Drosophila melanogaster: one gene and its partner. Changing the gene in region 1 together with any one later gene gives a genetic interaction. Each region holds a gene or a part of one and is shown in the gene's direction. Other genes may lie near its edges.

Region 1 (6,115 bases):
CGACAGGTTCTCCACATTCGAGTATTGCTGCAAATGGGGGAATGGCATTAGTATGGAATGGCAAAAGTTTATATATACAAAAATTGATTTTAATGACAGGGTTGAGTCATTATTTCTAGTTGGAATTGTACTTATTGGAACATACGAACTTTAAAAATGGATGGCAAGTACAGTACAGTACTTGTAGGCAAGGATTATTACATACAAACTTAACTAACAAAATCACATGTCTCCACAAACAGGGTATTTATTAATGAAATTCATACTCTTAGTATGCTGGAAAGTATTTGTAAGGACGCGATTTTAAGCTCTCACTACTAAACCATTCATAAGATTAAGAAGCATCTGTTGGATAGGATTCTTTACAATCACGGATACAACTTCTTAAGAATCGTTTCGTATTATTATTATTAGAATGCTAACAATTATGTGAGGAACATGCTCATCCTACCGAACTCATGATGTCTGAATTTCCTGCTGCTGTGCGTGTGTGTGTCTGTGTTGATGCGGGCCTGCGCTGGTGTGCGTGCGAATCGCTGTCTCAAGGTTTCAGTTTCGTCAGCTTATTCCTGCAGCTGAGCTCTTCGGCTCTCGGATAGTCGCAATTTCACCGCCTTTTCCCAGCTGCCTTGGAAAAGTGGTCCCAAAATATATGAATATGTGCGTTGTGGGCTGGCTTTAACTATTCCTTTGCGTGTAGACTCCTTATGCTTCCTTTGGCCCCGCTAGTCTCCTTGTCTGTTGTTTGGGTTTATGTTTTCACACGCACTCGTTTAAAGACTATATATATATATGTATTTGGTATAGCACCTCCTCTCGAAAATCTTGATTTTTAGTTTTTCTAGCGACTTAAAATTTTGTTTCGTTGGTTGCTTTTGTTTTGAAATCGATTCGCTCAACTTTGTCGTAGCTGCTGTGTGACCTATCTCGACTCTGGCGTTCACATCTAAACAAATTCAGTTGTCTAATTGGACACTTCACGCTCGACAACAACACACAAAAACAGTTTCATTTTACAGTAACCCTCGTCGCTGGCGCTGCGCTACAATTGGGGCATATTCGTGCTGGCGTCTTGCCTGCCTTCGATTTAAAAGCGGGTTTTTATTTATTTATTTAAAAAACGTCTTTGATTAAAACTGAGCATTTAAATATAGCTAATTCTTGTCTTGTAACAGTTAAGCCTCTTTTTTCGTGCAAACAGCAGCCACTTTGCAAATGTAGCGCATCTGAAGATCCACCCAGCCCACACAAACAAACTGTCTCTACACTAACGCAGCAACATGGCTGCTCAGACTCTATCGATATATCGATATATGCACAACATCGGTTCATGCCTAAGTTACTCTGGGAAATATTTAAAAACAAACAAAGAACATACCGTTATTAAAAAAAAAAACTTATTGTTGTGATAAATTCAAAACCTTTGCTAGCTATATTGAAAACAAATTATTATTATTTCTAAGTCTTTTTAGATACTTTCATTGTTGTTTAAATCTATTGCTTATAGCATATTTGTGGTATTTTAGAAAACTGAAATGGTATATTTTGGTTTTGCATTCCCCACGGTCACTCTGGATCTATTACCATCCGATAACCGATAGTGCCTACCAATATCGAAGTACGATAGTGCCCGATAGGTTCATCCATCCATTTTTTTTATTTAATTAGTTTTAATTTAGATTTCTAACTCTAATTTATTGGCGGCCCCCCACTATCGTCGCTCCCCGCCATCGGTACGCTGCACTTTGGTTCGGTTTCGGTTCGCATCGGGCGTATCGGTTCGATTTCGATCCTGAAGATCAGATCAGAATCTGCGGAACTCAACTGCCGTGTTTTGTGTTGTGTGTGAGGAACGGAGAGGAAAACTGTCAGTGCACTCTTGATCGGGCGGATCGGAGAAAATGTCGAAGAACAAGATAAACACAACGTCCGCAACGGCGGCCAGTGACACGAATCTAATCGAGGTGAAATCGAAGGTGAGTCCTAACTTTCGTGGCCCCCGGATTCCACGCCCCTTTCTGCGGCGCTGAGCTGCTGATTCATGCGCTCAGGAATGGGATTAATAGCTTAAATTGGAGTTCTGTGCGTGGAAAGGGGGTCTTTAGTCTGAGGAGCAATGTGTCTACCAATTTGGGAACTCCTATCTGTTGAGCTCGATTGTGTCAAAGCGGCCAGAGCAGGGATTAATGCTTGGAGTGCGAGGTGTGAGGAGCAACTGGTTTCCATCTTAGAAGCACCCCAAAAGTGACAATTTGCCCTTGCGAATGCATCTTACTTGTCGGAATTCCTGAGCTCTGATATGGATTGTTGCAACACCCTTTATTGCTTGGGCTCTTTGCCTGAAAACCAATCTGTTGCGCCTTACTCAAAAACTACCCTGTTTCGTTCATTTTCTGTAATTTTACAGAGAAGGAAACTTCAGTTATTAATTAGTCAAGGTACAATTCTTCAAGATAAACTCCAGTAATAGCTATAAGGCAGTAGATGTACTGCAATTCAGTGAAGGTCCCATTAAATTAGTAAAATGTCTGCATACAATTGAATCAACAGGTGATGCTGATGAACAAACTATACGGGTTTCAAAAGATTCAGCCCCTTTACTAATCAATACGTATCCTTTAGTTCGATGCAGAGTTTCGGAGGTGGAGCTTCAAGCGAAATGAGGCGGAGCAGAGCTTCGACAAATTCGCATCCCTCATTGAGCAGCTGCACAAGCTGACCAACATCCAGTTTCTCATACTCTACATCGATCCGCGGGACAATGATCTGTTGCCGATTAACAACGACGATAACTTCGGCCGGGCCCTGAAAACAGCACGTCCACTTTTACGGGTCATTGTGCAGCGAAAGGGTGAGTATGGGTATGCATAAGATACAATACGAGCCACTCAACCACAATCTTTTCGTTCACTCTATAGATGATCTTAATGAGTACTCTGGCTTTGGAACGATGAAACCGAGAAACCTCATCGGCAGCATACTGATGGGCCATACGCCAGTGAAGACAAAGGCGCCATCGATATCCATACCGCACGATTTCCGTCAAGTCTCGGCCATTATAGATGTGGATATAGTGCCGGAAACGCATAGAAGAGTGCGGCTACTGAAGCACGGCAGCGATAAGCCCCTGGGATTCTACATACGGGATGGCACCTCTGTCAGGGTGACGGCCAGTGGGCTAGAGAAGCAGCCGGGCATTTTTATATCCCGTTTGGTTCCGGGCGGTCTGGCCGAAAGTACTGGCCTGCTGGCCGTCAACGATGAGGTGATCGAGGTAAATGGCATCGAAGTGGCTGGCAAGACTCTGGATCAAGTCACCGACATGATGGTGGCCAACAGCTCCAATCTGATAATCACCGTGAAGCCGGCCAATCAGCGCACACTGACGTCCACACATCGCGGATCCTTTTCAAGGAACAGCCAGCTGTCCAGTGGGTCACATCACACTAATAATACAAACACCTCCGACGAGATCGAGCACGACGATCAGGACGATATTGTGGACTTAACGGGCGTCACCCTCGACGAGAGTCCAACGTCCACGTCAGCCGGCAATCACAACCATCAGCCGCCATTATCCTCATCACCCTCGTCGCACCACCAGCAGGCAGCCTCCAATGCGTCCACGATAATGGCCAGCGATGTCAAGGATGGAGTGCTGCATTTGTAGGATTAACCCGGCGATACAGCACCTCCAGCAGACGCAGCCAGAACTTAAGCAACGGAAAACGCGAATTCATCGCTGAGAAGTGCAGAGGATTTTCAGTTTATCAGACTTAACTTTCCTTAAGATCGAATAAGTTCGTTAAACTCGAGTCAATTATTTAAAGTTATACAAGTTAGGCCAACTTATTCACATGTACACTGATCGCTTGTATATCGCTCACTTACTAAAGCGACTGTCATAGCTCAACCAGCCATGATTTGAAAAGTCACCTTATAAAATCTATTGGTATTAGCCTGAAAGCCTGATTGATTGAGTAAACAACATATCGGCCATATCCCATTCATTTCTTGTTAATCCTGGCCATTCAAATTTAACGTTCTGCAAAATTTCCAGTCCGATTGTAGGTGAGCAATATATAAAACACGATTGTATATACATGTGTAATCATCATACGACTTTCCTCCATACATTCCACGAAACACTCAAAGTCAAAGAAAACACACCTATTCATTTGCACGTTTTTGAATGCAGTCTCTTGTTTTTATCTTTTTTCCTGGCATATATATATATGTGTATTTAAATTTGTAAGATTTACGTCTTGTTATTATTCTTGCTTGTTGTATTAGACTAGAGTGAGACAGCTAGAGGAGAGAGTGAAATAGAGAGAGGGCATCAAATGCTGAAGGCAGATCAATTTATTTAACTTAACCATTTGAAACGGCAATAATTGTAACAAAATCACATATACGAGCACGAATAATTTATAAAAAAAAAAAACATTCCATTTTATGTACTGTGACAAGTCGGAAAAGCCTAACAAAATTATATTTCCTGATTTGTAAGCCTTGTTTTTAATTTGAGCCGATCATTTTGCGTATATCTGCTATGTTTTGTTTAGCTCAATTTCTTATTTTTTCGGCATTACTCATTATATCTGTTTATTTTAAAAACCATTTGTAATTTTTAACTTTTGTTTTTTCGTCATTGTGTCCAATACTCGTCCAAGTTCTTTGTTGTCATTGTCATCACTTAGAGTTATGGAGAAAGGATAGAAAAACGAGGAGATAAAGTTAACAAAACGTTAAGATACAAACGAAACACCAACAGCGCCTTCGCCTTCAAGAGAGCAATTCGATACTTTTTATATATATACAAGAGAATATATAAACGAATACAATCTATGTTATGTACGTACCCCTGTACACACAATTGAATTGAAGTCTGTGTATTCGCTTTAGTAAAATTGAGAAAACGCCACTCACGGCAGATGGGATGCAATGCGATCTGCTCGACTTGAAGTTAACAATATTAATATTTATGGGTCGCAACGGGCATAACTAACCCCATACGAACGTGTACCCTGGGTAGATAGCAAGATCTAGGATAGACAGCAGCGAATCTGAAACTATAACTAAATGCGTATCGCCGCCCAACCACTCCCCTCATATACCCATTTCACATATACCCTTGCATTATCGAGAAATCTGAACTTACATCGAACAAAAGTCGCCAGAATATCCCGATTTCCAAGCAAACGCATGTATATATATATATATACAAAAGCTAATGTGTATTCCCGCTAAGCAACTGAAAAGACCGAAAAGCAAATCACGAAAGAAAACCTTATATTTTGATGTATGTATTATTATTTTTTAATAAACCTAAGAGAACTTGTAACCGATCTGGTGTGTAATTGGTTTTTTCCTGGGAGGCTATAGCAAAACAATGTAAGTTTATTGTTTATATCACAACCAATTCGAGGCGTTAAAGTATACAAAAAAGTTAAAAATGATATTCGGTTCCTGCATTTATAAACGAAAAAATTGTTTCCCTCTGTAAGCAATACTTTTCAATTCAACTGAATTGCTTTCACTTATTTTTAGCTTACAAAAATCAATTTAAATACATTAGCCGGGCCTTAATCAAAAAAGATCTTACATATACCCTTTTGAAGACTGCGAATTAAAAAACCAGTTAACGATATAGTTTTTGTTCCATTTGGGGATTCGATTTATTCGACCACTCTTTTGCTTGCTGAATATGTACAATTTGCTTAAGTGTGCATTCGCGTTTTGGGGCTTTAACCGTAATTGGTTTGTTCTTACAGGGTAAAAATTATAGCTAATTAATTGTACATTCAAAACAAAAATGAGTCATCTAATCAAATTATATTCAAGAGGAAGATTGTGGAGTTCGGAGGCTGAGAATGATTATCAGTCTAATCGCTTTCTGTCGCAACATTTGCGCCATTGTTCTCCAGGCACTGCCAAATGGTCTTGGCCGCTGGACGATCCTCGCTGAGAGCATTTGTGCACAGATAAAACAGCTCCACGACGCAGTTGTAATCGTCGCTAAGTTGAAAGGCCACTGGCAATGGTGGTCGTGTACCATAGGCGGAATGAAGGTTATTCAGTGTAAAGTAAGAGATATCGTTCTCCTTCGTGTCAT
Region 2 (3,705 bases), on another chromosome or scaffold:
AAAGTAGCTTCTCCGCTTCGGCAACAATAACACCGCACATGTTCGGATGTTTCTGGGCCACCTCGCTGAGGTGATGCAACGCCTTGGAGGCAATCTTGGCGATGGGATCGCCCAGTTTGTTTACCAGCATGGTTAGCAGCAGCTGCTCCTTTTCGGGAGCATAGGCCAACAGCCTGGCTGCTGACACAATAGAGGAGTTCTTATTGTGTTCCTGTCCAGTCTGCAGGCCCTGCATAACGTTCTTCAAGAACTCGTGGTACTGATCCTTTAATTCGCTCTCAAAATGCCAGTACGCGTAAATGCGGCGCTTCTGTTCGTTGCGCAAATTCTCATCCTTTTTCAGCTTTTTCCAATCAGCACCACGTGTGTGCACCGCCAGGAGTTTTCTGTTTGGCGGGAGCAGCACCTCCTGCCACAAATCCGTGAGCACTGCAATCACATCATTGCTGGCCTTGTTGGAGATCTTGCAGAAGCCAATTAAAGTGCTCAATGCTTCCAAATTGCCCAGTGGATTGCTCGTCACCAGAAGGGCGCCCGCATTGGCCCGATCCTTTGCAGTACCCTTGTGCAGAGCGGTTTGCAACCAGCGAGCATCCGAGGGATTACCTAAAGATGAGATAAAAACATTAGTAGGGGTTCCAATTTCCGAGTCGAGAAAGTCTTACGTTTATTAAAAGTTATCTTCTCCGCTTCGAAGGAATTCTTGCAGAGATTGTACAGCTCCAGCTGATCGTTCTCCTTCATGTCCAGCACCTCATCGGTGGACGGATAGTCGGGATGCTAAGATACGATAGTGATAACTATAAATGATTTATTTCCACGATTTCAGTTTAGTTTCAACATACCACATGATACCACTTCTTTTGGGACTCCTCGTCTTCATCTATTTTTGACTGATATTTGTTGTGCTTTTTGGAAATGGAGTCCCCCAGTTCCTCATCACTGTCTCCATCGCTGTCGGATACATTTTTTCCAGCTCCATCCTCATCAAACTTGATTCGTTGGGGCTTTTTAAAGTTCTCCTTGGACTCTCCGTCATCTCCAAACTTGATTTTTTGGGACTTCTTGGTCGGTTCCGTCTTTGTGTTGGAAGAATTCGCAGTTACTTCATCTTCTCCATCATCAGTGAACTTGATTTTCTGAGGTTTATTGGCGAAGTCCGACTTTTGACCATTATGTTTATGGTTGTTTTTGTTGAAAGGTTTTTGATGCACTGCTTCTCTATCCTCTCCAAATTTGATTTTCTGTGGTTTTGGTCCATTTTTATGATTTTGGTTGAACGACTTGGAAGCTACTTGTTCTCCATCATCGCCGAACTTTATTCTCTGTGGTTTGTTGGCAAAATCCGGCTTTTGGTGGTTCTTATTAAAGGACTTAGCACCTTTCGCTTTTCCATCCTCTCCAAACTTAATTTTCTGCGGCTTTTTCACCTGTTCCTTCCCTTCAAATTTTGGCCTTTGTGGGTGCTCCTTTTTGTTTTGTTTAACTACCGCCTCGCCGGAGTCGTCGAACACGATTTTCTTGTTTTTGGGCGGTCCACCGAATTGCACACCTGTGGCCACTGCTGCCGGCATGATTTTATATTTTCTAAAGCTATATATTAGATAAAAATCATTAAATAAAATAAACGGCGTTAGAAACAACTCGCACGTGTATTCAAATATGACATTCACCGCGAAACGTAAGCAACATATGTATGTCGTCTACTTAGTGACGAATTTCATTGTCTTTATGATATTAAAATTTTGTATTTAAAATCTTAAATAAGAGAGTATCCAACTTAGTTTTAAAATTTATAAATTATTCAGTAATTACCATTGAAATGACCGTGACTTTTGATAGCAGGTGGGTTTGAAGTTATATAAAGCTTGAAGTTATTATAATCTGATTATAAGTAAGAATAAAATTGAAATTCTTATATAGAATTACTATTAATTTATAAATTATTACATTAACTTATGTTTAAGTAACTGAAGTTGTGCTATATTTTCTTTTACCGTTACACCATTTTTCCACAATACATTTACGGTCTTACTGCCTTGACGCGCTTGGGATTTGTTAGGACGTTTATCGCATAGTCCTCGTGTTCGGTCTCGTATTTTGAAAGAAAATCGCAGATTATCGCCAATTTGAAGCGATTATCCCGGTCTAGATTTCGAAGGGGTCCTTTTGGATAGCGAACATTGCAATGAGCACCGAATCGGCGAAGCCGGCACTCAGCCAGGAGGCCATTGTGGCCCAGTTCCAACAGCTGCGCAATGAGCAGCGCAATTTGGTCAACAGTTTAAATACGCTCGAAATGGATTTGAGGGAACACAAGTGAGTCACCGGGGGCCCAAAGATGGATGACACGTCTGTTTGTGATTTTGGGCAAGTGGGAGAATCCCTGCAGACACAATGACATAACTCCTTATCCTCCCTAGAACTGTGATAGAAACTCTGGAGGCGGCGGATCCCGAACGGAAATGCTTTCGTCAAATTGGTGGTGTGCTGTGCGAAAGGACCGTGAAGGAGGTGCTGCCACAGCTGGTGGAGAACAAGGATTTCATCGCCAAGACCATCCAAATGGTCACCAATGACCTGAGCAAAAAGGGCAGTGAGCTGAACAAGTTCAAGGAGGAGCACAATATCAAGATTCGCGGCGAACACTTGGTTGCCGAAGGAGCCAAGGGCGACGATGCGGAGGACAAGGCGGAGAACCGTAATGTCCTGGTGTTCAACTGAGAGCGATTGATTACCTCACCACACCGTATTTATTGTGTCTATGTTGAGAGGGAACTCTGCCAGGATTTGCGAGCGATAATCCGCGTTTATTGAACACTTCTAATGTTGTATGTACTTCTAGCTGTAAGGCGCAGTTCGCGAAACGCCTCCAATCGCACCTTCACACCAACACTATCCATCAATTCCCCTCATTTAAACTTAACCCACTCTGGCCACGAATTAAAGATACCTTAAACTTCCGATTGAAATTAGTCATGTGTCTTGTGATTCATTCAAGATCTGAAAATGGATGGACCTCTATCCACCGACTGGAAACAAAAACTATATAAACTATATGATTATTTATCCCTTTTATGCCATTTGTTCTGAAACATTTTATTGGTATGTTAGTCAAATTAGTTTCCTATAAGGAAGTGATTTCATCTACATTTTTACACTTATGTATTCTTGCTTCATAAGTCTTTTAATTTAATATTTGTGGCTAAATCAAGTAAGCAGTAGTTTATTTTCCATTCCCCGTATCGTGGTTAATCCGGTTAGTCGGGTATTCGACTTATTCGACTTCTGTAACTATCCCATTTTGCGGCTCCTCCCTCTGGAAGTCCCTTTTTCCGCCGGATTTGCTTAGCAGGCGGACATTTGTGATGCAGATATCGTGAGAAACAGCCTTGCACATGTCGTACACAGTTAAAGCGGCCACTGAAACTGCAGTTAGTGCCTCCATCTCGACTCCAGTTTGGCCCGAGCAGCGAACGGTTGCCTCCAGCCGCACAGATTGTTCGGTTTTCAGAAGAGTGGCCTGCACTTTCACGGAGGACAAGCTGATGTTGTGACACAGGGGTATCAGTTCGGCGGTTCGCTTAGCGCCCATTATGCCAGCAATTTGGGCTACGGTTAGAACATCTCCCTTGGCCACTTGATTGTCGGCTATAAGTTGGGTAAGTTTCTCACCCACCTGAACGGTGGCCTCTGCACGAGCTA

What was found.
Region 2: of par-6 (region 1) and Pfdn2, changing one suppresses a phenotype caused by changing the other (phenotypic suppression), as found in Drosophila melanogaster (one study listed by BioGRID).

Annotation. Positions count from the first base shown.
Region 1 is NC_004354.4:17,701,750-17,707,864, forward strand, and holds par-6 (par-6), read left to right. Parts: upstream 1-1,602; 5' UTR 1,603-1,901; coding exon 1,902-1,976; intron 1,977-2,622; coding exon 2,623-2,851; intron 2,852-2,918; coding exon 2,919-3,670; 3' UTR 3,671-5,347; downstream 5,348-6,115. Other genes in the region: CG8188 (uncharacterized protein), read right to left, coding at 1-27, 452-460; CG8173 (uncharacterized protein), read right to left, coding at 5,886-6,115.
Region 2 is NT_037436.4:11,072,730-11,076,434, reverse strand, and holds Pfdn2 (prefoldin 2), read left to right. Parts: upstream 1-2,046; 5' UTR 2,047-2,188; coding exon 2,189-2,319; intron 2,320-2,423; coding exon 2,424-2,724; 3' UTR 2,725-3,143; downstream 3,144-3,705. Other genes in the region: Noc1 (nucleolar complex protein 1), read right to left, coding at 1-606, 666-780, 846-1,574; Mocs1 (molybdenum cofactor synthesis 1), read right to left, coding at 3,278-3,705. UniProt on the Drosophila melanogaster protein: Binds specifically to cytosolic chaperonin (c-CPN) and transfers target proteins to it. Binds to nascent polypeptide chain and promotes folding in an environment in which there are many competing pathways for nonnative proteins.